Linked DNA regions of Caenorhabditis elegans. The protein of the gene in region 4 purifies or fractionates together with the protein of the main gene of each other region. This does not show direct contact. Each region holds a gene or a part of one and is shown on either strand. Other genes may lie near its edges. The genes, in order: C30H6.8, rskn-2, arf-1 and rfgp-1.

Region 1 (5,791 bases), on a different chromosome or scaffold from region 4:
CTTGACCAGTACTTAATCGAACCTTATGGGATGCTGTGAAAAGGTTAAAAAGACGTTACTTTATAAAGTAAAAAGCTTTAAGGACATGTGTCAACTTTTTTCAATAAGTTTCAATTTAATCAAATTTAATGTTTGTGTGTTAGGAAGGAATTTTTTCAAATAGTTTTCGAATATATGTATTATTCAAGAGTAAATTGGGGTTTTTTTTTGACTAACTACTTTTAATTTTAATACAATACATAAGAAATGTAAAAAAAAGCTAATGGGAGACTCATGAGTTAATCAGAGATAGTTTGTACAGGGTAAAATTGGATACTTGATAATTGGAGCTAGTTTCGAAATACTTCAGTTTTCGAAATACTTCATTTTTGCACACACTTATCAACAATATCATGTGAGTGAGAGTCCTGACTGATTTTTAGCGAATTTCACGAATTGAAATGAGTAAAGAGTGTGCGTCAATTTTTACTCTAGGGATATTGTACGACGTGAGTTTGTGTATAATAGGTGAAGTTTGTAGCGTATGGGGAACCAAAAAACAAATGACATTGTCGATTCAACGGGAACAATACGAAAACAAAGTTATCAATATTTGAAATAAATGATGAGAAAATACGAAACTGAATATATACCAAATGAAGGGGACTAACCAGAATGTATGAAGTCGCTTTGTCGTCGTGTTTCGGAAGGATGAATAACTGTAAAGTTGATATTACAAAGATCTCCTATTATTTGTGGCATTTTTGTTTTAATGATTTAGAAAATGGTCATCAGGGAGATTCTTCTATTTTAATTTTGTTTCTCTTTTGTGGTGTTCCAGAGTATATCAATGTTCCAGTGTTTTGAAGTGAAATCACCACTAACCTAGCTCCTCTTTCATGTTTTTTTCCAAATTTGGGTTCTTCCAGAAAATTTCATGTATTGTTTTCCAAGCCGTTTTGAAAAGTTTCGAAATACTTAACAAAATATTAACTTATTCCGAAAAATTGAATTTTGATTCAAAGTCATAGATTTGATGCCGCGACACTAAGGATTCAATGTTTTATAGACATGAGAGGGTACGGTAGATTTTCTTGTTTTATTCCAATTTTTGATCACTTAAAAGTGTTGAATATTAGAAGATCGGTTGTTTTTATGAAAGAATTATTTTATGCCAGAAATATTATAAGTACAAGAAGTTGAATGAAAAACGTCAAAGAAATGTGATAGGATCCTCCAAAAGTTGTTCAATAAGTGCAACTCTATCAATTCATTGTCTACATTTTGTGCATTCGATACTTTCTGCTAAAATGACAGTTCCATAAAATGTGAAATTTAGCACAACAGTCTCCGCCCATATCTTAAATTCTTGCATTTTTGCATTAAAAATACATATACTTATTATGTATCTGCCATACGTCCTCTCATATTTTTATTACCACAAACTAAGATTTTGAAATAAAAATAGCAATTTTAGAAGTTAACCCACCGCTCTCCTCCATTTCAATAATGTCTTTTGCCATCAACATTAGAACATCAGACTATACGAAAAAATGAGACGAAGCCAAACAAAACCGCGTACTTTTCCTTTCAATATTTTTTTTGCCCGACTGCTTCTCTAATCAGTTAGAGGGGAAAGAGATGGAATCCCATAGCAACCACACACCGCCTTGCCCATTTTTAGTGCTTTTCTCGTTTCATTATCATTATTTTCGTTGTCGTGTAGGTTCAGACTCTCTATTTCTGATGCTGTTGTTCAGTGAGCGGAATGGGAGAGAATAACAGGATGTATATGGGGAATATATGTGAGAATTTTCGAGAATGCATTTTTTGTATTTAGTGTTCGTCTGGAAAATATTGGTGAGAAAAAGAACAAATTGTAATGGAAATTATTTACTTAAAAGAACCCATAATCAATGTTTTCTCTACTAAAATGTACATAATATTCAAGTCTAGTTGAGTCATCTGTGTAAATCACTGATTCAACAATTTCTTCCATTCCTCCATAGTCTTCACAGGATCCGCCTTGATTCCAGCTTCTACGTCAGCACGGACACGATCATGAACGACATCTCCATTGGAGTTAACGAGTTTCAGAACCGGTATCACCACTGCTTTGTACTTTTCCGATAGCTTTCTGAAAAATTATAATTTTTTTCAGTATAAATTTTGGAAATTTCTCTCACTGAATATTTTCATCTCCAAATGGAATATATGGCCAGTCTGGAAGATTCTTCTCATAGTATTCTTCTTGGTGGGCTGCTTCTTTGTCCTTCGACACCCATACGATTTCCAGATTCTTTCCAGCATCCGATTCTTTTACAGCATTGTAGAATTTCTTGATCTTTGGAGTCAGAAATTTGCAGGATCCACACCATCCAGCTGAGAAGTAGACAACTACTGTCTGAAATTCTTTTTTTTTCAATTTTTGAAAATAAATTTTGCAACGTAAATAGGTGATTTAAATTATTCAGTCCTACCTTATTTTCGAAATAATCTTTTGGTAGATTTCCATCAACTCCACGCTTCTTCATTGGAACCGATGACAAAAAGTGTGCATTTCGGATACTTGCGAACTTTGTGAAGTTGCCAGAAGCTGAGCGAAGAAATGATGAACCAAGAAGTGAAGGGGACATCTTGAAAATAATCGAAAATTGTGGAAGAAAATGTTGGACGACGCGATATTTTTAGGGCGATTCACGCGGAAAGTGTTTTCAAATTTCGAATTGCATTCAAATTAAAAATTCGACTTCATTTTATCTAATATTAGAGTACATCGGTGCTATGAAGAGTATGAGAATCCTGTCTAATTCGAAACTACAATAAACGCGAAAAATCAAAATCGAGTTCTGGAGAAAGTGGTTCAGCAATGAGCAATTCCGGATCAGAAAGCGATTCGGAGAAGTGAAGAAGGAATCGTTTTGCACATTCTTCGGAGATTGCTCGTCCGTCGAAACAAAGATTGACACCCATTCTAGAAAAAAATACATATTAATCTGATGGGATTATTTAATTTTGATGGCAGAGATTTTTTTTAATTTCCTAGGTATCAGTCCTTACAATTTTTGTGTCTCCAATTGTCCATCAACAGATACAACTTCAGAACGAGTTCCTCCGATCGTCAAAATGGCACATTGCGGTGGATTTATGATGGCTGTGAAGTTGGTCACACTTCCGAACATTCCAAGATTCGAAATTCTGAAATTTTCTAATTTTTGTATCATTTCGGGATGATAGCTTTTAAATTTGCATGATTATCATGTGATTTCTTTATCAATTCTTCTCTCTTACGAGAAATTAGAACAGAAACATAAAAAACTTCAAAGATCTCTAGAAGTTGTTTGATGTGGATACATTTTTTGAACGTTGTGAACGTTTCAATAATTTCTGTAATTATATTTGAAGTAACCGAAACAAATAGAATAAATCTCACGTAAAAGATCCTCCCTGGAACTGTTGTGGTTTTAATTTGCTTTCTCGCGCCAATCCCGACAACTCCTTCACTTTGCTAGAAATCGCCAAAACGCCCAAAATATCAGAATTCTCTACAATTGGAGTGATAAGGCCGGTTGGAGTAGCCACAGCGACCGAAATATCGACTGATCCGAGACCGATTCCTTCTGGAGTCCATCGAACATTTACTGTCGGCACGGACTGAAATAGAGCTCTCATTTACGAAGAAATTTTGAAAAGCCTACCCTCAGTGCAAGGGCTGCGGCTTTTATGATAAAGTCGTTGAGCGAAACAGCAGTTCCGGATTTTTTCAATTTCTGTCTCAACGCCAGAATATCGTCAATTCGAACGTCAACACCTTGATATTCGTGAGGAATTTGCTGCTGAAATAAAATATTTTCTCCAATAATAACATTTCGAATTTTTACTTTAGAAGCTGTCAATCGTTTTGCGATTGTTGCTCGAATATTGCTGAGAGGAATATCTTGGTGATGACGGAGACTGCGATTGTTGGCGCCGAAAATGTCTGATTTCTGCAAAACAAAACAATATGTAATTTTTGAAACATTTTTCCAAACCTTTTCAATAGATTTATTTTCAATATGTGTTTCTTTTGGAGCATGTGCATGATGAGCCACCGGCTTCAGCTTTTCAGCTTCAACTATTTTCATAACATCGCCTTTCAGAATATTTTTGTTTTTTGGGCCTGTTCCATCAATTTTTCGATTTTCCAGACCATATTGAATCAGAAGAAGCTTGACTGCAGGACCGCAAGCTCTGGAAAATACTATTAAATAGAAAAATCTATTTTACACACTTACCCTTGGTTTTGTGCAGCAGTAGAAAGGTGGCGAAGAGCCTGACTACCGGCTAGCATGATTACCCTGGAAGAAATATATCAATTGTTATTTTTACGATGCGTGTCATAACAGGAATAACGGAAATATTTAGCAAAGGAAGAAGAGGAATTGAAGGAAAAATCTGTTGAGCGGTGTGCAATGCAAGAGCGCTCTGCCGCACTTCTCTATTTATTTCTCCGTCAACGCCTCTTTCTCTTCGCTCAATTGCATTTTTTTGCATTTAAAATAAATATTTACTTAAATAAACTAATCTTTTTTTGAAAAAATTTAATAACGAAGTGTACTATTTAGCATAAAATTATGCATAATAAATGAAATAAAAAAGAAACCAATATTCACATTAAAAAAATTAATTGCCATGTTGTCCGAGAGGAAAACACGCGTTTTTCCACTCGAGACCAAGCTGCCTTCCATATAATTGTTCCTTTAAAATTTACAGTAATCCTTAACAGATTTTTGTTTTAAATCATTCGATTTTCAGCATGTTTTCCCGAGTTTTCTTCCGTTCTGTGCCACGACTACAAGGATGGACGCCGATTCGATTTAACTCTCAACAAGTGGACCCAGCAAAACTGAAAGCGTTTCAGGAAAGAATTGATAAAGGTAAGTAACCCAATTTTTAAAATGCCCAGATCCCAAACAATGTTTTTCAGCCAAAATACGCCGCGCTTATGCTCTCGGAGGTTGCCTCATGTTTATCTGGATTTCGACGCATGGAATTCTTCTTTACAAGTAAACTATTTTCGGAAAAAAATCTTCAAAATCAACTTCTTCCAGACGTCGAAGCGAACATCGAAATCTCAATGAAAAATTGCCACCGATTTCTTGGGAAAATTTTGAGCAAACATATCTAGCGACTGGCGACGTCAAAACTATCATTTTTCAACCACACTTTGAGACAGCGAATGTATATTTAAATTCCGCCAGAGAACAACAGATGAAGAAGAGTTTTGTTGATTTAGTAAGTTATATTTAAACTACATGTTACAAAATTCCCCTATACTTTTCATGTAAATTATTACATTTTCAGGTTCATACAACTCCCGACAAATTTTCTCGCCCTCCAGATGTCCGATTCTATTTGGAAGCTTCATCAGAAGATGTTCAATCTTTAGTGGCCGCTGCTTCACAAAAATACAAGCACCACGTCGACTTTGAGATTGATCAATTTCCCAGCTACCGGGAGCTGTCTTTCATCGTAGGATCCTCACTCTTTGTTCTGGCGGCTATTTCCATGGCAAAATAATTTTTTTACTTTGATTAGTGTAGGATTAGTATTTGAAACCTTTCAACTTGTCATGTTTCGTGTTTTCGGGTCTAAAACTGGCCGATTTGCAATATATAAGTTTTTTTTATTTGTGCACATGTTCAACTGTTAAACACTAAATGAAAAAGTCTAAAAATTTCTAGAATTTTAATGAAAATCCGCGAGCCACAGGAGTATTTACTCTGCTCATCTGCTCATTCATCGGGATGCCTCGACGCCTTGCTTCTTGCTC
Region 2 (10,294 bases), 510 kb from region 4:
AGATTTTTGGAGAGCTAGGAAATTTGAACTCTCAAAACTTTACATTATGTAATTAAGGAATTTGTTTGTTTTTTAAAAAGATATTGTGAGTCGTTTTGATACGCCGAGACTGGGGGCGCTTCTCCTCGCCTCTTCACTCGCCCAACTCGCGCCCGAACTTTTAACTCATGTGAACCTTGTGTTGTATTGTGTTCATATTTTATTTGCATAAAAATCAGTAACGTGAAATTAAAATTAAATAATGCGGTTCAAGAATCTAAAAAAAAACACGAACGTATTAACTGACTTAGGATTGAGATCATCCTCGGTTTTGTTAATTTCATTTGCTCCGATTTTCATGAGATTTGTTGCATGACGTATTCATGCAGCTATTTTCTTGTTTTTCCCTTCAAACTGCTAATTTTTTTTTAAATTCAATCAGAAATTTTTGCAATAGGTTCGCTATTTTTGAATCGGAATTTTTGTCCCTTTTCAAAATTAATTGTGTATTTTTCTTTTTCTTTTTTTTTGATAGATACAAATTTTCAAATAGTAGTTTTCTAGTTTGCGGGCATATATTTTCCAAAATCAGAAGCTTGTAGGAACTTGTATGATTCATGATTTGTTGTGACCTTGGTCTATAATTCATGAATAATATTATTATTATTTTGTTCTTGTTCTGCCATAATAATCACATTTCCCAAACACTTGATTTTTCAAAATCCTTTTTTGTGCTCAATCGTAATTACTGATCCTGCTTTTTCACTCATTTCTCTAATCTTTATATTTCATTTCTCCAAAAAATGTGTCTGAGTCTCTACTATAAACCATTAATCTCTCACTATTCTTTTTCTTTTCGTTTCTCTCTTCAATGCCATTGAAGCGGGGAAAAACCGACGACGACACACACCACACACACACAAACAACACATTGCATAGGCTATATCAAAAAATTATTAAAAATGTTCTTTTTTTTTTGATTCTTATAAAATATTTGTGATTCTTTCCCATGTAAAATTCCGTTTGAACTTAATTAGTGTTATCTAAAATGGTCTCTGATCTTTGATAGTGTCTCTTCAAAAAGAGGGTTGTACGGCAAATGTTCTCTTTTCGATATGGTTGTTTTAGATAAAAAATTAATATAATGTAGAATAATATTTAGTCAATTTGAACACAATTCTTGTTTTGATTGAATTTTTTTAAAAGTATCTAAAGACTGAAAGTTAGTCACTGCTGAAAAAATGGGTCAAAGTTTTGGCAAGTTTCGGTAGTTGGGCTCTATTTCAAACAAAATTTAGGATTATTTCCAGAGAGTTTTCGAATTTTTCAAATTGCTTTTGCTTTCATAAGTTTGCTTATTGCAGAGAAATCAGCAATTTTGTAGATTTTCCGCACACCCTAAATATCAGGTTCGACAAATTTTAAATGTTCTATTTTCAGCAACACGTTTGGATCAATTCTTCATCTCTCATTTGAACAAAAAATTTATTTTTCATCCTAAAATCTAATTTCAACAAAATAACTATCGTTTTTTTCCTTCCAGATGAATTACTAATTTCACTCTAGTTTTTGCAGAATTTTTGCACTTTCAGTTAATTCATTCATATTAAATTGATCTCTATAATTGCAAATGTCATTTTCTAATCATAATCCCATTAATTTCTGAAACTTGATTACGTAGAATGCATAAACTTTAAGTTGGCAGTCCAAATACACATGCAAATGTAAATTCGACCCTTTCTCGCCCATCTGCATTTTTCATTTGAGGTCATTTTACTTTTGTGACCAACTTTGTGTTCTCTGTGGTCTTTTACTCTTTTTTCGTGATGATAATTATAGTTATAGCAAAAAAAACAATTATTGTGACAAGCTGTGTCCAACGTTTTTCATAAATGTTCCTATAACTTTTGCTCCTGGGGTTCGGAAAGTAATCAAATATTTTTAAATATGATTTGTGTGTGAACTCTAGAAAACTTTTAAATTATGCTGTCAGATGCAGAATTTTCATTGACTAGCAAAAACACAAGTCGAATGCAAACTTGATTTTAACTCTAAAAAATAGTATGAAGAATTTTTTCTATTCACTTTTCCATCGTGGGTGCAAAACGGCAAAACAACCAAGATGTGGGCGGAACCATTACACCCTTTTAAAAAATAAAACTAATTTTGGTGAATATTTTAAAATAGATTCGAAAATATTTTGAAAAATACAAAACATTAAAAGATAAATGTATTACTTTTCTGAAAAAATTCCGATGAAAACAACTAATGAACTTGTTTTCATTTTGAGCTTTTCAGTTTCAAGTATTAAGATTTGAAATTCCTAGTTTTAATTTCTGGCCAGTGAACTTTTCTTTCATATTTCGTTTGATGTTTAGTGTATCACTGGTTTTTTTGCAAAATGTTTATTTCTAATTGATTTGAGTTTCTTTAAAAGCAGAAGTGATTAATTTAGGTTATTTTAAAAGCTTCAAGATATTTATTCTTAATATTTATCGCTAGAAACTAAATTTATACAGGCCCCATCATTCCTCTCGTTAATATTTTGTTGATTAGCTTGGTTAGTTTTCTCTTCGTTAGACGAATTCCCCAAATCTAGGTACCTAGAAGCAGTAGAAGTGTTGTTTTGATATTTCCTGTTTATATCTTCCATTTCTCTTACTTCTCACTCTTCTCATTCCTCTAACTTCTGCTTGTTGTGTTCTTGTGTTCCATTTGATTCTGCTCTTGCTCACCGGAGCCACGGCAGCAAATGCAACAAAAGAAAGGAAGAAAAAACGAAGCACACACGCAAAACACATGGCATATTTTCACTTTTGCATCGTTGTCTCTTTCTCTTTCCTTCTTCATCTTCCTTCTTCTTGCTTATGGCTCATGACACCACACCACTTGTGCTCTCTTGGCAGGAAAGCCTGAGCTCACAACTTCTTCAAGTTTTCAGAATATTGTTGGATGGAGAGAAAAGGGAAAGGGGATTTCTGAAAATGATCGGAGGTGAATAGAGTTGGTCAACAAATCTTTCTTTCTCTAGAAGACTTTTCATTTTGTTTTTTATTCTGTTTGCTATGTTGTCCTCTTTTTTGTGCTGTGCTTCTTCTTTTTCTTCCTCTCCTTCTTGTTCTCAACCTTCCAAGCGGTAATGGATTTCTCGTTTTCATTTCCTTTTCTGCAAGATTCATGTGATAATTTCTGTTTTTCCATGTCTCTTTTTTTCGCAGTCTTCATTCCAAATTTTGTATAATCTTCTGATTTCTTTTATTAAAGCCTAAGATCTCAAAACTTAAAACTCAAGATCTTCCTAATGACTTTGTCTTGTGAAATTCTATTATTTGTCATCATTCTCTTGATACTCAGTTATTAGAACTCTTATAGTTAGCCAATTTGTGAGTCATCCTCTAAACATGAATAAATTTGAAAATATTGTCATAATTTCGAAGTTTTCATGGATTTATTTAGATTAATCTTTTAAAGATTGAAAATATTTTGACAAGCTCCTTTAAGTTCGAATTTCAGAAGAATGCAAAATTACTTTTTTTTTGGAAAATTAAACAACTACTAGATTTAGTTTTGAAAACTAATATGTAAATTATTAGATCTGCAAAAATTGAGTTTGTTTTTTCAATATTTTGTTTTCACTCTATTCTCTTCTGCTCAGTCGATTTCACTTATAACCTTGTTATGCCTACGTGCATATTTGCAAAACCTCATTTCGTGCAATTTTTATTTTTCAGGTGATTAAACCCGAAGAACACAAAAAATAGGCAGAAGGCATACATATATAGAAAAAATGGAAGATATATTGATGCCTGAAGGAGAGAAAGTTTCCATGGAGAACTTTGCTCTCCTCAGAGTTCTTGGAAAAGGAGCATATGGAAAAGTATTCCTTGTGCGAAAAGTTGGTGGAAAGGATCATAATACTATATATGCTATGAAAGTGTTGAGAAAGACCAGAGTGAGTTATTTTTGGAAAAGAAATGAATTTAAAAATAATAATTTCTCATTTATACGGTGCTGAACCTTTGTATTATTATTTGTTTTTTCATCTCTCGCCAAGAGCGAAAAAACCGACAATTGCCGGAATTCATATTCTTGAAATGGTTTTGAACTTTTCGAAACAAATAACTGGATTGAAAAATTTTTGAGAGATGGGAAAGTGAGGTGAAATAAAGTTTATAGATTAGTATTTTAATATGAAACGAAAAAAAAACAAATTTGATTGCAGGTGCTCACAAAACAAAAAACCCTGGAGCACACAATGGCAGAGCGTCAAGTACTTGAACGTCTACGTGGAACACCATTTCTTGTCAATTTGTTCTATGCTTTCCAAACTGATACCAAATTGCACATTGTAATGGAATATGTGAGAGGAGGAGAATTATTCACACATCTTTGCTCGAGAGGTCATTTTGATTTAGAAGCTGCTAGATTTGTAATTGCTGAACTTGTGGTTGCAATTGATAGTCTTCATCAAAGAAAAGTTATTTATCGAGATTTGAAGCTTGAGAATATTTTATTGGACGAAGAAGGACACGTTAAGTTGACAGATTTTGGATTAAGTAAATTGTTTCTACCCGGAGAGTTGGATAGAGCCAATTCATATTGTGGAACTATTGAATATATGTGAGTTTTGAAATTTCCAGCCAAAGTTTAGGCACACTGCCAAACGTATTTGGAATTAAAAAAAAAAAGAACTTATCAAACCTCAGAATTATTTGCATGTCAATAATTTAAACATGATTAGAATATACAATTCGTAGTTTTTGATGTAGTTCCAAAATTAGGATTAACAAAAACTGGGTAATTGCTACTTTTTGGTTGTATATTAAAAGGTATCATTTTTTGTTGAAAATTATTGATCATTGATATTTGATTATTGAGCTATTGAATTTTTTCATTGAGATTTTCATATAATTCTTTACAAACGAAAATTGGCACAGACGGCTGTGTAAAAGTAATTTCTGAATAGATAAGAAATAAATTCTCAAGTTTAATGATTCCAGGTCGCCAGAAGTAATCAATCGCCCTGAAGGAGGATACAGTGATGTTGTCGATTGGTGGTCTTTGGGTGTAATTTCATTTGAATTGCTCACTGGATGCTCACCATTTACTGTAGATGGAGCACAAAACTCTAGTAAAGATATTGCCAAGTAAATCATTTCCTCATTTTCTTTATAATTTCTTCGAGTTTTAGACGAATTATGACAAAGAAGGTCCCTTTCCCAAAAACTATGGATGTTGATGCTCGCGATTTCATCGGCCAATTGTTGGAAAAGAAACTTGAAAAACGTCTCGGATACAATGGAGTTGATGAAATTAAAAATCATAAATTTATGTCAAGTATTGACTGGGATGCAGCTGTTAAGCGTACATTGAAGCCAGTGATTGTTCCAAGAATTGGACATGATTTGGATACACAGTTCTTCTCAGCTGAATTCACTTCTCAGCCACCATTATATTCTCCTGCAGAGTCACCATTAAATGCTAATACTCTGTTTAGAGTGAGTTTTTTCTTAACTTGGCAGGCACCGATTGCCGGATTTTGAGCCGAATTCCGAAATATGTTTGACAAAAATAAATTTCCAGAAGAAATTATGTGATTACAGGGATACTCATATGTCTCCCCATCTGTTATATTTGCCAATGACAATGTTATCGGTGAAGAACTAATGGCTGAAGATGTCAATGCACTTCTCGCGAGTTCTTCATTTTTTGCCAAGTACAAACTAGACAAGTCGGACGCTGGTCTTTTAGGAAAAGGAGCTTTTTCGGTGGTCAGGTAAATTTTTATATTTTCATCAACATTTCATGTGCTGGAACTATTTTCTAGATTCGAAAATCTCGAAAAAGTTCAACAAAACGTTATTTTTACATAGTTTTAAAGATAAAATATACAAATTCAGACGATGCGAACGCGTAGTTGACGGAGCCCAGTTTGCAGTCAAAATCGTATCACAAAAGTTCGCAAGTCAGGCTCAACGTGAAGCACGAATTCTTGAAATGGTTCAAGGACATCCGAATATTGTTCAACTTCATGATGTACATTCGGATCCTCTTCATTTTTATCTCGTCATGGAGATTCTGACTGGAAATGAGCTGCTCGAGAGAATTCGAAAATTGGAACGATTTACAGAGGTTAGAATTCTTTTAAGCATTTCTTTAATTCGGAGTTACTCTGAAAATTAAATTTTTAGAGTGAAGCAGCAGACATCATGCGGCAGTTGGTATCAGCTGTGAAATATCTTCATGATAAAAGAATTGTTCATCGAGATTTGAAACCAGAGGTGAGTTTCAATGATCAGATTATGTTAAGTGGCTGCAAAATAATACAAAACATAAGAATAAAATACTTCCAAAAAGTGAAACAAATTAATAATTAAAGGTGGAGTATACTCGAGTAGTTAGAAAATTATGACGCAATTTTTAAAAAAACGGGCACAGTTATTCTTATTCCAGAATATTCTATTTGAAAGTATCGATTCAAGTGCCCGCCTTCGTCTAGTCGATTTTGGATTTGCACGTCTACTTCCAAATTCAATGGAACAACAACTGAAGTCTGTTCAAGTTCTGCGCAAGATGTACGGTCTCATCGCACACAATCATTCACTCCACTCGGAGTAACATTTAGTCTAGTCAAAAGTTATTGTGTTTTGTCTTTTTTCACTCATTATTGGGCATATTTTTGTTTTTTTTTCTTAACTGGGAGCATGTGTCTCAAGCTGAAAATTTAAAAGAACAAATGTTCGAAAAAAGTTACTTTTGGTAGAGAGGAAGACGGTGGTGTGTGATGTTTCGTGCATTCTTGTTACAGATTATCTTCTTTTTCTATCCTTTTAAACCTTTCTTTTCACTTATCTCTACTAAGGGTTTCTTTCTTGATTTCAGAGATTTTTGAAGAAACACACTCATTCTCTGACTCTCACTTGATTTTCAAGACAAAGCTGTTTACTAACAATTCACAAACACTCACATTAAGTTTCTCAAATTTTCTGTAAACTTGAGAGTTAGAGAATGCCCAATTCATCTTTGAATAACGTTTGTTTTCACTAATAGCTTCTATATATTTGCCTAACTCTCACTATGAAATTCTTCAATCATAATTACAGGACCCCCTGCTTCACACTACAGTATGCTGCTCCAGAAGTTTTAGATGTTGGAGATTCTCAACCAGAATACAACGAACAATGTGATTTATGGTCACTTGGAGTTGTACTGGTTAGTTGTATAATTTTGTAATAATTTAATGTTTCAAAAATCGAAGTAAAAATTTTGAGAAAAAACAAAAAGACCCCTCAAATTTAAGAAACGATTGATAATCGATAAAAATCACGAAATGGAAGCATGCAACTACAGTACCACATCGTGAAAAATTTTTTGGACGCATTGAGAACCCTGGTTATTAGAAATTCATAAGAAATATTTTAAATTGTGTGGCACATTTTCTACGAATAAATTTTTCAGTTCACAATGCTATCGGGTCAAGTTCCATTCCATGCACGTTCTCGTCAAGAATCGGCAACTGAAATAATGCAGAGAATTTGTAGAGCAGAATTCTCATTCACAGGAGACGCATGGACAAACGTGTCAGCAGATGCTAAGAATTTAATAACCGGTCTTCTTACTGTGGATCCAAAGAAACGTCTTTCAATGCAAGAGCTTACAGCTCATATGTGGCTCAAGTCTTCGGCTTCAATGGATACACCACTTCAAACTCCTAGTATTCTGCCATCATCAGCAGGTAGTTAAACTGATGTTATTGAAAATTGAATAACCTAATCTTTTGACTTTTCAGATGAAACATTCAATGAGACACTGCGCGCATTCCTCCACGCTAATCGTGATGGATTCCATCTTCTCGATGTTGCTGCTGCTCCTCTCATGAAACGACGCGGAATCAAAAGACAATCTGGGGACAAGGATGCTTCTGGAAACTCGAAAAAGTGAGTTCAAGAACCCTAATATTTGAAACTCCTCCAATTTGGGGTACGGTTTCAAAGTGCACAAGAAACACCACATTTGACGACATTTCTCTAAAATTTTATTTTTTAGTTTTTAAGTTTGCAAATAATTGTAAATTCCTTATTTTATACTATTTAGAACGTCTATTCAAATATTATATTTATGAAATTATTAATAATAATTATTTTCTAAAAAAATATGATACTTCTAATTTTGATCGCATTGTGAACATTTTCGTTTCTGAAAATATACTTTCATTTTCAACAATTTATGTCATTTTCCAGTTCGCGAGTTACCCAATTCGAGTGTCTTCCGGAAGAACAAGAAGCAGAGATGACATCATCAACATCCCGTCCAAGCAATTTGGGAATGATGAACTATCGAGAACCAAATTCTGGAACAATCCGAGAAACTCGTGGCTCAGACTCCTCCTAGACCTTTTTCTTTGTTTCTTTTAATTTTTCTTCCTTTCTGTTCCTGTTTCTCTCACTGTTTGCGTTGTGATTCTTTCGTCCTAGATGCTTTCTAGTCTGTACTCTCTCATTATTCTCACTATTTTACAAATTTTCCGTCACCTGACACTTGTGGCATTGCCTTCTCTATGAGTACAGTTGCTGAAATGTTCATTGAACCTGTAGTGATTGTCATTTGTTAGATATTTCGCATTTCTAGTCAATCCTCTACCAATTTTGAAAAATATTGTGATTCGTGCATTTCATTTTATGTTATTATATCTAGTCTCATGTAAATTTCTAATTTTTTATAATCATTTTGTTAGATACACATATCTTTATTCATCCACCTATCCCCATGTAATCTTTTCATTGTCTCCAGTGACTCCCTGAACTCTTGAACCATTTCCAGAAATTCTTCCATGTTTTGCGATGAGCATGATTGACTTGCCAATCGACTTTTTGAAAGATTAATAAAATTAAGTAATTCGTTTTACATATTTATTTTGGAGAAGGTTTGAAAGCTCCGAATCATAATATCGATTGAAGCATCAACGTGAAAACCTGATGTAATGTGAGAAAATAAAATATGGAAGTGAAAGCATTTTAGAGAATATTTTTAGCGATAAGAGCTTGGTGAAGACGGTGAAGTGGCAAACCAACCACATTCGGCATACATCCTTCGATTCCACGAACGAAGACAGCGCCAAAGTCACCGATTCCATATGAACCTGCTTTTTTCCTGAAATTTCGATTTACTAGGTCAGTTATTCGTGTTTTTTTATTGGAGTTTTCAAATGTCGTGATGAAAATGATGAAAAACGTGATGAAAATTTTAAAAATCCCTCAAGTTTTGCAGCTCTTTCAAATACTCATAAAATGTTCAAAATTTCTTGACCGCCAATTTTTCTTTCATTTTTATGACTTTAGATAAGAAATTCAATTCCAAAAATTTTGATAACTTTCAATCAATAAATATTTCCATAACTTTTTTTTGCTAAAAAAAACTAACAATGGCTCTCCGCTTTTTACATATTCGTCGATAACTCTATCAGGAATATCTCCAAAATGAACAATTGTTTTCTCGATGATCTCTTCATATTGATCAGTTTCATGATAGTGTAGAGCCATTCCAGTATATACATTATGAGTATTGTTACGAAGTCTGAAATTAATTTATACAATTATGATGTTGAAAATTTAATTACCTTTTCAAAGTTTCTTTAGCGTCATTGGCATCTGTTGGTTTTCCAATAATTTCTCCATTGAATTCGATTACTGTATCACACGCAATAATAACAGAGTACGGCTCCTTAATAATTCATATATTAATATAATATCTCAGTTTTTATAATTTCAATTTTAGATTTTAAAAATATGGTAGCAGGTCTCGATATGCTGCAGCACTCTGAAATTTTGCGCAAAAAGTTTTAGGTCGCGTCGAGAAATGTTGCCGTATTTTTTTTGTTGAATTCCGATTTGTTTTTCAACTAATAACTATATTCTCAAGTTACTGAAAAAATAACTATACCTCTTTTCTTTTCATTTCTTCCACAATAGTCGTCAATTTTCCTTTAGCTGTTTCAATGACAAACTGCTTAACTGGCAATGTTTTTGGTAGATTTTCCTCGAAATTTGAAACTTTTACGATTACATTTTCCAATCCCTGAAACCGAAATAAATCTTTCTTTTTGTAGATTCTCATTTTCTCACAATTTGCTGCAACAATTTGAGTCGATTTGGTGACTGACTTGCCAATACAATAATGGCTTCTTTCATTCCGAACTTGCCGTCGTGGGCGAAACACGTGGATCTGAAATTTCGATCGGCTCTTGTGCTCAGTCAATTATTCACAAAAAGTTGGGGACATCCGGATGTAATTAAACAGTACGTTTTGTTTTAATTGA
Region 3 (6,319 bases), on a different chromosome or scaffold from region 4:
TAACGAAAGAGAAGAGTATTTTATCGACGCTAGTTCAGGCTCAGAATCAGCATAATATTATTCTTGACAAGTGGATGGTTAAACAGAAGGAGTTGCTCATCAAGGCGAGAACGTCTACTGATGAAACTGATAAGAAGAATGCAACCAAATTGGTCAAACATCTGCATAAAAAAATAAAGGCATGCAAGGAAGAAGTCGACGGAATCCTGCTCAAAATATCAGAAAAGTCAATGGTGGTTGATGAGATTGCAGCCCAAATTGAAGAGCTTAAAAATCCACAAAAATCGGACGATTCGACCCGGAAGCGAAAAGCAGGAAGCGATGGAGACGAGCCCCAATCTAAAATGAGCAGTGTTGTCATCGTTCGAGGTGTAACAGTGAGTTTTCTTTAAATTGTAGATTTTAAAAACACATTATTTCCAGGATGAATTGGTCACTGATTTGATGGCACATATGGAGAAGTTCGGTGAGGTTTTTGATCACAGTGTTAAAGCCGACGACGATGGTCTCATAACAGCCGTTTTTCCGTTTAGAAAAACAGGTGATGCGTTGAAAGTGAGTTTTCAGTTTAAACGGGACTCGATTTTAAATAAGATGTTAATTTTTAGGCAATGGCGGATGGCAAAGTTCTGAATGGTGTGGACCTCGAGATGGAATTGAAGACGGAGCGAATCGAGGAGATCCCTTCAACTGATACGAACATGTCTGCCGACCAGTTGCTCGCTGCAATTCCGAGCAATCTTGAGGTAACTTGGTTTTCACTTGAAAATTAAATTTAAAAAAAGATTTCAGTCTGACGAAGAAGATGACCTGCTAAATGATTAGTCCTAGTTATATTAGAACTTTGATCTCAAAATATTGTCTTGGTGATCTTACTCGTTGTTTCCAAATGGTTACTTTTCTAGTTATCTGGCTGGTTAGCCTATTTAACCTCAGATTTACCTCAATTTTTCTTCCCGTTTATTATTGTTGCCTATCAGAAACTGTTTCGATTTTTTCTATTGTATATCCATTATAATTTATCACATTTCCTCTCTTATCATTCTTTAATTGTCTTCAGTTTAACTGCCCATTTGGCAATACTTTTTCATCTTCATTTTTTATTGTTCTTGGCTAAGAACTTGTCATGTGATCTGTTCAGAATCGCAATGATTATTGATTTTTACCTGATTCCTTGACAAGTTCCCATTATTTTTTCGTTCATTTTTGTTGTTTGCATTATTTCTATCGATATATCTCATTGATGAAAAAGCCAGCAAAAAAGAGCAAAAGAGAGCAATAACTCCACTAAATGAGAAAAATAAAGTAAAAGAATACATAATGGCTGTGATCTCGAAAAAAAATCAGCGAAAGAATAAAAGACGGGCCACTGAAAAGTGAACGAGTACAAAAAGAGCCCCTCCCGAGTGACGAGTAAAAAACGAGTTAATTTTCAATAAAACACAGGTATTTTTGCGGAAACCGGTGTGTTTTCGTCGTATTTAGCCGTGAATTGCCAGAAAATAAATGATTTTAATTTTTTTTTTCTTTGTTCTTTCTTAACTTTATTCCTCCAATTTTTCTTGCTTCGACGTTGCAATCGTCACATTTTATCTTTGATTTGATCGTCATTTCATTTATTTCCGAATTTGAACGCAAAAAGCTCGAAAATCAAGGTTTGTGACTCCTAATAATTACTGCAGAAAGTAAGAAATTCTCGGCATTTTGAAAGGCGGAAAGATGAACTATCCTAGATTGGCGCAAAGGCATTGATCTATACTGTCTGCGGCGGCCGGTTTCTATTAAGCTTTCATTTTTCTCCAGCACATTCTTCAGAAGCGCCACATTGCTTTAGTCGGAAATGCGGGTCATCTATTTAGAAAGTTTGGCGCTTTGTATTTGATTTAATATTAATTTTCTCATCTGATTCTATTTATTAGTCACAGTATCTCGTGCTGCACTCTTGTGACACGTGTCCTTTTTTCAGAGTTTTTAATTGCGTCACGATTTTCAAAATTTCTCAACAATGCGCTCGCGTTCAATAGGTTTTTCTTCTCTCAAAAAGCATTTTTCATCACTTTCTTAATGTTGCAGTTTATCGTCTTATCACTCGAAAAAGTTTGTTTCAAAGTTCAAATTTTAGAACTTTCGGGTTCATTCAATCAATCAATCAAGATTTCACTGAAGGATTGAAAGATTCAACGTACGGCTGACGTGGAGTCAGTAGAAGGAACTCGAACATTACTATTCTCGTTCCTGTGTGTATGTGTTCTTCATCCTTCCGTCCTGCACTAGCGGACAAATTTGGACGGTCTCTTGTTCTTTTTCGCTCTCTCCTCATCTCTTGCGGTACTTTCACGTCTCGGTCTCTTCACTTATTGCCATCTATCTCCTCTTATTCGACCGCTGCGCAACGCACGCGACGCGCCCAGCGAACAAGACAAAAAGCAGCGTCGAGAGGTTGAGAGAGGAAGAGACACTCCACTGGTCGCCAGAGACTGCTGTGCTAGTGACACGTTGGACGGTGTAGCCGATGTATTTCTGCTGGATTCTCGCTCCTTGCGCCTGTTATAGATATCCATCTCCTTGCCACGTTTTACCCGATTCTTCCTCCTTCCAATCGTCTTCCGTACTTTTTTCTCCGATTGTCGTTGCTGGCATTTTCACGTATTGGATTTGAAATCTTCCCGAATTTTTCGCAATTTCCCACGAAGATTATTGATTCAGCTTTCACATTTTATTAGCGTTCCTTTTCACTTCCATCGGTTCCTCTTCTGAAATTCAATAATTTAATTTATTAATCAATTTATAGAATGGGAAACGTGTTCGGCAGCTTATTTAAAGGCCTCTTCGGCAAACGGGAGATGCGTATTCTGATGGTTGGATTGGATGCTGCCGGAAAGACTACGATTTTGTACAAGTTGAAGCTGGGCGAGATTGTCACGACTATCCCAACTATTGGTGAGTCATTGGGACGTTTTTTTGTTGCGAAAGAACGGTTCACAATGAGTCATAATTTTTATTCATATTTCAGGATTCAACGTGGAGACTGTCGAATACAAGAACATTTCATTCACCGTGTGGGATGTCGGAGGTCAGGACAAGATCCGTCCACTCTGGAGGCATTATTTCCAGAACACACAAGGTTAGTGATTTACGAGAATAGTTTGCGGATCAGCTTATCACCCGCAAGAATTCACAGACTGTCCAAAAAAAATGCTCTATTGATTATATTTTCTTGCAGGACTTATCTTTGTTGTTGATTCCAACGATCGTGAACGTGTTGGAGAGGCTCGTGAAGAGCTGATGCGTATGCTCGCCGAGGATGAGCTTCGTGATGCCGTTCTTCTGGTCTTCGCCAACAAACAAGATCTTCCACAAGCCATGAACGCCGCTGAGGTCACTGACAAGCTCGGGCTCCACTCGCTCAGAAATCGATCGTGGTATATTCAGGTGAGATATTTTTAATCAGCAGTTTCTCATCTGATATTTTAAAACTAAAGAAATTCACTATTTTTCAATAATAAATTAATTCCAGGCCACATGTGCGACATCAGGAGATGGTCTCTATGAAGGACTCGATTGGCTCAGCAACCAGCTCAAGAATAGATCTTAAATCATTTTTCTGAATCCACCTTCGACGAATAAACGACTACGAATCATCCGTTTTTGTTATTCGTTTCAACTCCTTTCTTCTCCCCATTCATTCTCTTTGTTCTTCTCTGTTCCATTTGAAATTCCCTCTCCCATCCCTTAGGCTTTTTAATTTGATCACCATCGCCCTCTTCTACTTTTTCAACCCAATTTTTATTTAAAGCCCCAATTCATTTGTCGTCTATTTCTTCTTAACTTCCAAATCCGACATTTTTTCTTATCCGATTACATTTGGAACCGCTCCTGACGGGAATAATATGTAAGTTATTCATTGTTTTTCTCTCCATTTTTGACCTGCTCCGCCCTCCATCTCCCTCAAATATTCCCTGAAACAGTGTTGTGTAACGAGAAGAAGTATGAACGTGTTTCTCTTCTCTTGTTGAACCATTATTCTATTTTTGTGATTTTTGCGCGTAATTGCACACAAACCTACACACAAATCTCGTTTTCATCGTTCCCTTCCCCTCGAACCTTTAATTTCGCTTCTCTTCTATTTCGTATCGAACACTGTTTTGCTTTTCCTCAATTTTTCCGTATTATAGTATCATATTCACCATTTTTTTTGTCGTGGAGTAAATTATTATGTTATATTCACCTGTTGATAATGACAATATGAAAGTATGAAAATGATCTTTTTCCTCAATTTGGACAAGAAATGTTAATTTTTAAGGGTAATTTATTAACACATGAGGCGTTATACTATGTGCAAAAATTTTTAATACGGAAAAACTAAATTCTGGAATTTCGTATTGTGCAACTTGTCTGGCGCACAGATATCACGTAGCGAAAAATACAGAAATTATTTACATTACTACTGTAGCCATGGTCTGATTTTGCTTTGTTCTTTTTCACTTTTTGACTCGGAATGACAGAAAAAAGAAAAATAGGATGAAATTCAAATATTTCGGTCACAATTCGAAAATAAATTATGTTCTAAAATCGAGCCCGTAAATCGACACAAGCGCAACAGTAGTCATTTAGAGAATTACTGTAGTTTTCGCTACGAGATATTTTGCGCGTCGAACATGTTGCTCAATGCGCATTCTCAGTGTTCACGTAATACACTGAAAATACAGTAATCCTACAGTGCTTCTAATGTACCCTGATACTATTCCCAGACGTATTCCAATTCATAACCTCTCCAAATCACCTAAATTGCACAATTAATGGAACTACAGTAATCCAATTATATACTTACTGTACCCTAATACTATCTCTGCTGACTGAGCAACTATTCAAGCAAAATTTGAATAAAAGGGGAAGTTACGTTAACAATCTCAAGTTTTTATAACGAATAAAACATGATAGCTGAATTGCACAAATATTTTGTTACAATTATTGAAATCAGGATCTTTATTCTCTGGCGTACCTATAACACAAAAAAATACCAAAATTTCGGCGGCTTCTTTTTTTTTTTTAATTTTAGACCAAATATATTCATTTACTGAAAAACTAAAATAAAATACAATATGGATAATAAACGAATATTTTGTCTCCTTGAACTAAACTTGAGGAATTCAATTCTAGTACAGTAATTATAGTTGTGCAACTCATCATAAGCATGTAATATCCTCCAAATGGTCCCATCTTGTGGAAATATTACGTGGATGACTGGTAGCATTACGTCACTAATGCTCATTGGTTGTGAAACGATGAATAGAACCAGCCAGTCAGCAGTAGCAGAATACCCCCCTATACACACCGTTTATATGATTATAGGGACGGATTAACCTCCCGTTGAGTGAACGCATTCATCACCAGACAGGGTTCGCAGTTGTCACATTTAGATTTTTTGAATCGATAAGTTTTATAAAGTATTTTTTTGTTCGTTTCATCGATCCTTTTCTACATGTTTTGGATATTTCCCAGCCAATAATTCCTGCACTTTTTTCAATATGCTCAATTTTGTTGACTAATTTTTCATATTCGAAGCAAAAATGATATGAAATGCAATTTTTAAAGATTGATAAGGCCTGCGTATTTCAGACACTTAGACGAATTGTGAGCTTTGTGTTTCATAATGCATACAAGTTTTGGTCTCGTTCAGAGATGCTTACGTGTCTGCCAACCGCCTACTGCCTTAGAAGTTCAGTGTTAACTTTTGAAGCACATGGTAACCAAACTTTTCACACATATGATGTCACGCAATTTATACAGGGAAGTCCCCAAAAAACCCAATTTTATACAAAATTCCGAATCTCTAGTAAAAACTTTCTAACCTGTCATCATCAAATCTTCCTCCTCTTCAATAAATTCGATTAATCGTCTCTCTTTCCAAGTGAGACAGTATCTGCTCACAAGATCTTTTGCCTCTTTTCCCTCGATGGGGCACCCCTATCCCTCAATCAACAGGTTTTTCTAGATTCGAAACACCACCAAAAAACTTTTTTCTGTCATATTGTTGTGTCTGATCGAGTAAACGTCAAGGTTTCTTATTCACTCGTTCGAAAAATTTGAAAAACGAAGAACGCGCACCTAATTTCCTGTCCATCTGCCCTTCTTGAGGAGCTGCTATTACTATTCGCAACCATCTGCCCGATAGGTTGTACCACACATTAATAATAAGCTTCTCAGTTTTTGACTTTATTTTTGGAAAGCTAAACACGCTCTAATGCTTCAACAAAAGTATATATTTAATTATGTACATAAACACACATGCGTCCATACTTTTTGGTCATTTCTGGTG
Region 4 (7,714 bases):
GATTCTTCATCTCTTCATGTTTTCACATTTTTTGTACGAAATGCGCGAAAGCAGGTACGAAAATTAGTTTAAAATCTTGAAAACGATGAACTTTAGATCTTGCTGTCTGTTTGATTTGTAAGAAAAATGTGAGACTTGTTCGATTGGATGGAAACATAAGCTCAGGAATCAAAATATATTTTGCTGACCCTATAAAAATGGTGGCAGATTCATTGGCGAAAATACAAAAGAAAATAGATTTCCAACAGAGCACAAGAGATCATCTTGTCAAATATTTGACTAAGGAGGTTTGAGCTACAATCAGCTAGGAAGAATTCATAAATTTGGTTCTAGAAAGAGAAAAAACGACAAATGGAGGTATATTTTCGAACGAAAGGGCAGGAATTCGATTCACAAAGGAAGAAGCTAGCGGAGGCGACCGCGTGGATTCAAATGGCAGAAAAGAAATTGCAAGCAAGTGAAGAAGAACGGGTAAAAGCTGAGAGAGAAATTGAAGAGTGTCAAGCAAAATTGAAGTTGGTAAATTTTGTTTTTATTTCGTTCTTTCAAACATTGAATTTCAGATCTATGACAAATTTAATGTCCGCCGACACTCTTGGAATGAACTCTCAAACTCCATTTCCATTCAGTCTTGCTGAATCACAAGAAACGGCACCATCTCTTGTCGAATCGTCTGCAAATTCAACATTTAATATGGTCTCACCGCTAGTTAGCTCTCCAGCTTCATCACCAAATTCCATTAATTATAATTCGTTTTTCGAAAATGGCAGCCGCACTAGACCAGAATCATTAAACGAAGAAGCTATGTTCAATACAATGGTAACAATTATTTGATAAAAAGATTGTCCATATATTCTAGTTGCAGAGCAGTGGACAGTCAGCTAATGCAAACACGTCAGAATCATCAGCTTTCAGTGTGGCCTTCAATAATGTAAGTTGTTATTAGTATACACCGGCTCTCAGAAAGTGGTTCAACACACTTTTTGCGTAGACAATTCTTGTTGTAACATTCGTCCACCCCTTGCCGTATCTTCAAAGTGGTAATGTTTCTCTTGGCTACTCAAAAGCACGCTCCGTTGTGGTCTAGTGGTTAGGATTTATGGCTCTCACCCATAAGGCCGGGGTTCGATTCCCCGCAACGGAAGATCTTTTTTATAAATTTTTAAACATTTTCAAGCACAGTTCTTAATATGACTTAAATTTTTACAGATATTCACCCCATCGCGTAATAATATGGGAGATAGTTCGATGATAAACAAAACTACGGCAAATCAGACAATCATGGACAAAACTAGTATGTCACTGGAAAATTGGAGGCAAAATAGAGCGAATTCATTTGGAGTGCATGATATGTGAGATATTTTCAAAGTATCTGTGATTCCTAATTCATAATTTTCCAGTTCTAAAAGAGATTCTTCGCTGCCCACAGGAGGCGGTTCTGCGATACGTGTTCATCATTTCAAACAGAATTCACGAATTACTCCAATAGCACAAAATCGTCGAAGTGCAGCTGGATTCGACCGTCAGCAGATACAAGAAATGCGTCGAATCTCATCTCAACCCGGTCTGTCATTCACTCTTTTATTCCTCAATTTCCCTCGACCCTCTCATCAACTAACACACTTACACACTTTTTTCGTCTCTCACTCTCTCATTCCGGGCGCTTTTTGCGCCTTTCCGCTCCCTCTATATTCCAATTCTTTCGATTTTTGCCACGTGTACTCTGACGTTTTCAGGATACCTCGCACAAAGGAAACCGATCAATGGTCGGAGCTTCATTGGACCCGCCGATTAATGTTTTAATCTCGTTTTTTTCTGAATTCGTTCTTTATTTGTTGATATATACATCATGTACAATTCAACTTTAATGTTTATTTCATAAAAATTGGGTTAAAAATTCCAAATTTCTTTTTCTCTACCTAGTTCACATCTGATTTAAATTTTATTTGAATATTTCGTGTTTAAACCCTCTTTACCTTAAAATTTTTGAAACTTTTAAGATGGCAAGTCCACGGACCCGAAGAGTGCTGAAAGAACTTCGGCCGTGTGATGATAATAACGTAAGTCTGATATCACAAATGTTATTAACACATTTAAATCTATTTCATTCAGTTCTGTTTCGAATGCGAAGCCAATAATCCTCAATGGGTGTCCGTATCGTATGGAATATGGATTTGTCTCGAATGCTCGGGGATTCACCGTAGTTTGGGCGTACATTTGAGGTAGGTTTCCACAGTTCTCGCTGAATTTTCAATTTTTGTTGTTCAGTTTCGTACGCTCTGTGACTATGGACAAATGGAAAGACATTGAATTAGCAAAAATGAAGGCCGGAGGCAATAGAAAGTTTGCCGAGTTCTTGCAGTCACAGCCAGATTATAAGGAGAAATGGACGATTCAAGAGAAATATAATTCACGAGCTGCTGCTTTATTTAGAGATAAAGTATGTCTTTGTTAATTGATTGAAAATTTAATAAAAAATGTATTAAAGGTAGCCTGTGAAGCTGAAGGCCGTGAATGGTCACAATCAACATCTCCAGCAGCAAACTATGTTCCACCAACACTTGGAGGAATGTCTTCTCAATCCAAACCAACTAATAAGTCTTCAGGGAACTCGTCTCTTGGTTCTTATTATGGTGGAAATTCAAGTTATTCACAATCCACAGGCGATGGGGCATATTCTACCCAAGATTCGTAAGTTTTTGAAACAATTAAAGGTGGAAGAATATTTCAAAATTCCCTAAAACGACTGAATTTTGTGATTAAAAATTTTGAAAATTCCTGAAAAAATGTAATGTCGGATGAAAGCTTTGAAATAAACATATTTTCAGAGATTTGAAAATTTATTTTCATGTCTGAAAATATACTTTCCTATAATTAAAGATGAAGCAACGAAATATGGGACACTTTTCTATCAGACTTAAAAAGTTCGAAAACGACGTTTCGTAGAAAGACGTCCTGAAAATTAAAAAAATATTTTGGTTAAATTTTTTTAATAAATACATATTTTCAAGTTGAAAAAAAGATTCAACTAAAAACTCAAGTTTTGTCAGCCTGTCTGTGTCGCAGCGGCCGCAACGTTTGAAAAAAAAGATATCATGCAATGAAGGGTGATAATTGGAATTTTTAAAGTCCCGTTCGCTAATTTGAGAAACGGTTGCTTCTTTAATTGTATGAAAGTATCTCTCCAAACATGGAAATAAATTTTTAACCTCACGTTTTCAGTTTTCAGAAATTACAGACTTCAAAAATTAAGTTTTCTTACAGTTCCACAGAATTGTTTTTTTTTCAGAAACAGCAAATATCAAGGATTCGGAAATACTGGATATGTACCGAATCAGTCAAATAGTGGAGATGATTTGCTTGCTGGAGCAATGTCTGGTCTTTCAATGGTAGATTTAACCTAGATTAACAATTTTAAAATAGTTGTTCTACAGGGCTGGTCTATGCTTTCAAAAGGAGCTTCTCAAGCTGCAGCGATGGCAAAAGACGTTGGAATTCAAGCTCAGCAGAAAGCGTCACAGTTAAGCGAGAATGTGGTAGGATTTTATCAAAAAGTCAGAAATTAATTTTAAAAAAAGTAAATTTCAGTCTCAAAACAATTCACTATTTGGTGGTGTCGCGAACAAAGCATCAGAAGTTGGAACTAAATCCTGGGATGGATTATCTTCATTCGTAAAATCACCTTCTCTCAATGCCTTCTCTGGTATTCTCGCTAAAACGTAATTTTAAAAAATATTTCCGCCATAATCATTATTTTTTAAATCTTACAGTGGTTACGAAGACTTTGGTGGTGGCGGAGGTGGAATGTCCGGCTCATCGTCGCAAAATGAGTTCAACGACTGGCTAAAACAATCTAATTTGCCACGTGGAACAACTGAAGGTGGAGATCATTTGAGCAATGAAGGTATTTTGAATCAAGTAGATTTTTTCCTATTTTTACTTTTGATTTTCAGAATTGAAACCAACGGAACCGGTAGAGACAAAAAAGAAAAAGGAGAGAAGTGTCAAGCCAGTGCAAAGCAAAGAAAAAGGTATAGTTCATTTCAAAAAGGAATTTTAATAATATTGTTGATTGTCGAAATTTTCAGTAACCGCAGAAAATGTAGAGGATGATGATTCTTCTTCAACAATTACTCAATTCGAGTCTTCATTCAACAAACCAAAGACAACAGCTCCACGTTTGGCTCCAGTAGCCGCCGCACCTCCAAAAAAGAAAGAAGAAAAAGCAAAAGGATGGGATGATGATGCATGGGATCTTCTCAATCAATAGGAATTTTCTTTTTCAACAAACAAATTCCCAAATTTCTGTATTTTCTGTCCCCTTTTCTCTTTTTTAAATAACTTATTTCTGTTTTTCCACTCTCTTTCTTTACCGAAATTCCTTTCCTTTCTAGCCATCAGAAATGTTTCCTGTGATTTAATTTTTCTTTAAAAATGTTTCTAGAAAATACCGGCCAATTGCCAATTTATCGTTTGGTGAGATCACTTTTTGAAATAAAAATGCGAAAAACTCGAAGATTTGAAATATTAATATGTGGTTATTGTTGTTTGGTTTTGGTTGTTGTTTTTGTGAGTTTCAGTTTATATATTTTGTTGAGTTTTTCTTTAAAACTTTTCTGTCCCGTTTCAATGTTCCTGTTTCATTTCCAGATGTCATCTGTAAAAAACAAAAAAGAAAAAGAAGGTAAGCAGAAGATTTGTTCAAATTTAGAAAATAAAATGAACGGAGCTTTTAGCTCGAAAATGTATGAGAAACGGAAAGTTCAGTGACGCAGTCGACAAGTTTAATGAAGCAGCTCATGAGCTCAAGCAAATTGGAGATTTGGAATCTGCAATTTCTCTTTGTGAAGAAGGTGAGATTTCTGAATTTTGAACCTAAAATTGTTGAATCCTGCAAATTCCAAAATTCTGCTTGTTGCTGAAAGTTGCCGCGATTCTTGACATCGATATTTAAAAATGCAATTTTCTGGATTAAACTTTGCAGGGATTATTTTAATGTAAAAAAGTCAATCACTGCTCATTTTCTTTATTACAGGTTCAAAACTCGCACGTGAACACCGAAAATACTTCGAAGGCAGTCTTTGTGAACGTACATTAAGTGAAATTTATGCGGAACTAGGTAACAGAGAATCATGTCTTCAACACATTGTCTCGTTCCGAAAATTGGCAAAAGAATGTGGAAGTCGATCTCAGGAACAACTATCGTATCATGTTGAAGCATGGTGTCTACAACAATTATTTTTGAATGGAGAAGCTGAACGAACTGATATTGAACGAGCAATTGAATTGACAAAAAAGGCTAGAGAACTTGTGGATTTATACAAATCATCGTTTAAAGAAAGTGAGCCTGGTGGAGCACCGAAAGTTCGAAAAGCTCAGCTGGTTAGTTAGAAAAATCAGTTCCGAAGAAAAATTAAATTCAATATTTTTCAGTTCACACTGGAAGCTCAGCTACAAAATCAAATAGGAAATAATGCGAGAGCAATGCAATTGTTGGACAAAACTGAAGGATTATTAAGGTTAGTTTTTTATTCTACATAAATTATTATATTTTTCGGAATTTTCAGAGTAAATGATAAATCTATGAGATTCGAGATGCTCCGTACTAAATGTAGTATTGCTCCTGTGAATCAACGAGTAGATATCGCTGAATTAATGGACGATGACGCATCAGAAGATAAAAAAGCTCAGACTTTATGTGAACTTTCTCATGTAAACTTTCCAGCTGAATATAATTATATGCATAATATATATATATGTTTTCAGCAATATCTCCTTGCAAACCGTCTTGACAAAGCTTACAAGTCGCTCGCAGAAGCTTACTTTTTTCATGAAGCTAGATTTCCAGCTCATGAGCTTGAGGATACTGTCAAAAGAATTTGCATTAGTCAGTTTTTGAAGTTCTCCCGTATCTTTATTACTTTATTTTACAGTTTATCGACTGGTGAAGTATAACAAAATTCGAAAAAATCCACAAATGGAGCCTAAATTATCAAAATGTCAACTCTACGAAGCAATCGGAGATCTTTATGATCAATATTTCCAAACTTTAATGGCGAAAGAGAAGAAAGAATATCGGCAATTTGTAAGAGACAATATTTTGATGAGTTATCAGAAAATGTTAGAGTAAGTGGAATTTATTTTAAATATTTTATTTTAGAGCTTATTTTTGTAGATTCAAACGGAACGACGAAGATGCTCTTCGTGCATATCAGGGAATGGCTTTGGTTTACAGTGATTTAGATGAACATTCAAAATCTTTGGAAATGTTTAAGAATCTATTGGAACTTCTCATGAAAACTGGGGCTACAGAAGAAAAGGTTTGAAAAATATTGAATTTAAATGCAAAGTTAAAAAAAAATAGAATTTTGTGAAAAAAAATTTCATGGTTAACTTTCGGATAAACCTAACATAAAAAAGGTTTAAATTACAATTTTGTTCCCAGAAAACCAAAAGAAAAGGTCAGCTCTGGTTCATTCAACTACCATAATTAAAATCTTAAAATTTAAAATTTATTATCGATTATTTTCAGATTCTCGATACTCGAGTTTCAATATTCGGTTGTATGTGCAAGCTAGACTTTACGGATTTGGAACCAATGTTTAATGAACTCAATGGGAAAATCCTTCGATTAGACACCAAACGTGTATGTTATAATCTCTATATAACATCCTATTTTAATTTTAATTTGTTCAGGAGCTCTACGAGAATTGGGCCAACTACTGGTCGGATAAGCGGAACGAGGAAAACGCGATAAAATGGAAACAAGAAACTGATAATATTCCAGAAGTTGTGATTAAGAATGAGGATGATGAAACTGATGTCTTATACTGGAAACTTTCAGATGAAGATGTGTTAGAGAGATGCAAAGGTATATACACAAAGTTCACAAAGTTCGAAAAAGTACAAGAAAATTTAAAGAAAAATGCAAAAAGGAACCAAGATTTAGACGGAGCCTTTTCGATAAATACATCGCGTTATAAATAATAAGATACAGACGGGATACTGTAGTATTACTGTAGGTTTACTGTAGTTTAGAAAACATTTAAAAAGTCTAGAAAATACTAGAAGTACAAATATCAGAACTGTCTAAAAATTTCAAAGAGCATTAAAATACTTCCAGAGTTACTAGAAGTTCCCATAAAGTTTCCAAAATTTCAAAAATTGATATTTTAAGAAACTTCATCAAAAGAAAATTTGAACACTGGCTCCGCCCATATCTTGGTTTTACGTTTTTGTCGAATGATAGGTCACCTTTAATGTACGAAGTTTTTAAATTGATTTTTTCTGAAATTTTGGCCGTTTGAAAAATGTCGAATTTTGCCTGATTTCAGAAGAGAATGAACTACTCAAATTGGATCTTCTAACGGAACATCAGTTGAACAAAACGAATGATAAAGGAGAAACAGTTTTACATCAAGCAGCAATGAAATCTGAAAATGAAGCGGTTATAGAGCGTCTGTGTAGACGTGTAAGTGGAATTTTGTTTAAAAATCGTGATAAATTTCCATTATTTTAGGGTTGTAAAGTCAATGCAAAAGATAATGGTGGTTGGACACCTCTTTCGGAAGCAGTAGCTCACAATCAATACGGAAATGTTCTAGTATTGTTACGATATGGTGCAGAAGTGAACGCTAGAAGTGCAGAATCATTTATGTCAGAAGAATCACAAAATTCTTCGACTGAACTGAACCATTCTCGATTGACACCTCTA

What was found.
Region 1: the proteins of rfgp-1 (region 4) and C30H6.8 fractionate together in Caenorhabditis elegans (co-fractionation; one large-scale study listed by BioGRID). This does not show direct contact.
Region 2: the proteins of rfgp-1 (region 4) and rskn-2 fractionate together in Caenorhabditis elegans (co-fractionation; one large-scale study listed by BioGRID). This does not show direct contact.
Region 3: the proteins of rfgp-1 (region 4) and arf-1 fractionate together in Caenorhabditis elegans (co-fractionation; one large-scale study listed by BioGRID). This does not show direct contact.

Annotation. Positions count from the first base shown.
Region 1 is NC_003282.8:17,379,153-17,384,943, reverse strand, and holds C30H6.8 (protein-disulfide reductase), read right to left. Parts: upstream 2,616-5,791; coding exon 2,460-2,615; intron 2,384-2,459; coding exon 2,166-2,383; intron 2,117-2,165; coding exon 1,954-2,116; 3' UTR 1,865-1,953; downstream 1-1,864. Other genes in the region: C30H6.12 (BESS domain-containing protein), read right to left, coding at 651-698, 1,469-1,508; dlat-2 (2-oxoacid dehydrogenase acyltransferase catalytic domain-containing protein), read right to left, coding at 2,797-2,953, 3,040-3,177, 3,413-3,633, 3,678-3,815, 3,861-3,965, 4,011-4,209, 4,254-4,309; C30H6.9 (Altered inheritance of mitochondria protein 36, mitochondrial), read left to right, coding at 4,775-4,895, 4,946-5,024, 5,070-5,253, 5,323-5,538; haf-1 (HAlF transporter (PGP related)), read right to left, coding at 5,699-5,791.
Region 2 is NC_003279.8:8,010,702-8,020,995, forward strand, and holds rskn-2 (Ribosomal protein S6 kinase), read left to right. Parts: upstream 1-3,708; 5' UTR 3,709-3,766; coding exon 3,767-3,931; intron 3,932-4,201; coding exon 4,202-4,599; intron 4,600-4,979; coding exon 4,980-5,126; intron 5,127-5,170; coding exon 5,171-5,477; intron 5,478-5,582; coding exon 5,583-5,755; intron 5,756-5,879; coding exon 5,880-6,111; intron 6,112-6,170; coding exon 6,171-6,260; intron 6,261-6,432; coding exon 6,433-6,554; intron 6,555-7,082; coding exon 7,083-7,191; intron 7,192-7,437; coding exon 7,438-7,717; intron 7,718-7,768; coding exon 7,769-7,916; intron 7,917-8,219; coding exon 8,220-8,370; 3' UTR 8,371-8,879; downstream 8,880-10,294. Other genes in the region: dod-18 (Nucleotide PPase), read right to left, coding at 8,994-9,129, 9,400-9,552, 9,596-9,699, 9,919-10,053, 10,101-10,166; C54G4.7 (AB hydrolase-1 domain-containing protein), read left to right, coding at 10,153-10,274. UniProt on the Caenorhabditis elegans protein: Serine/threonine kinase that may play a role in mediating the mitogen- and stress-induced effects on transcription. May repress transcription via phosphorylation of 'Ser-1' of histone H2A. May phosphorylate histone H3.
Region 3 is NC_003281.10:5,713,324-5,719,642, forward strand, and holds arf-1 (ADP-ribosylation factor 1-like 2), read left to right. Parts: upstream 1-2,791; 5' UTR 2,792-2,792; coding exon 2,793-2,940; intron 2,941-3,013; coding exon 3,014-3,124; intron 3,125-3,223; coding exon 3,224-3,432; intron 3,433-3,517; coding exon 3,518-3,595; 3' UTR 3,596-4,221; downstream 4,222-6,319. Other genes in the region: rbm-26 (C3H1-type domain-containing protein), read left to right, coding at 1-377, 424-555, 609-746, 793-825. UniProt on the Caenorhabditis elegans protein: Small GTPase involved in protein trafficking between different compartments. Modulates vesicle budding and uncoating within the Golgi complex. In its GTP-bound form, triggers the recruitment of coatomer proteins to the Golgi membrane.
Region 4 is NC_003279.8:8,523,558-8,531,271, reverse strand, and holds rfgp-1 (ADP-ribosylation factor GTPase-activating protein 1), read left to right. Parts: upstream 1-2,000; coding exon 2,001-2,060; intron 2,061-2,112; coding exon 2,113-2,222; intron 2,223-2,268; coding exon 2,269-2,440; intron 2,441-2,488; coding exon 2,489-2,691; intron 2,692-3,289; coding exon 3,290-3,389; intron 3,390-3,434; coding exon 3,435-3,536; intron 3,537-3,588; coding exon 3,589-3,719; intron 3,720-3,770; coding exon 3,771-3,904; intron 3,905-3,953; coding exon 3,954-4,031; intron 4,032-4,088; coding exon 4,089-4,270; 3' UTR 4,271-4,514; downstream 4,515-7,714. Other genes in the region: zhp-3 (Zip homologous protein 3), read left to right, coding at 1-54, 97-287, 334-515, 564-819, 860-931, 1,210-1,352, 1,401-1,564, 1,737-1,795; tnsl-1 (Tonsoku-like protein), read left to right, coding at 4,651-4,684, 4,737-4,853, 5,036-5,382, 5,434-5,519, 5,568-5,712, 5,767-5,887, 5,934-6,126, 6,176-6,320 and 4 more.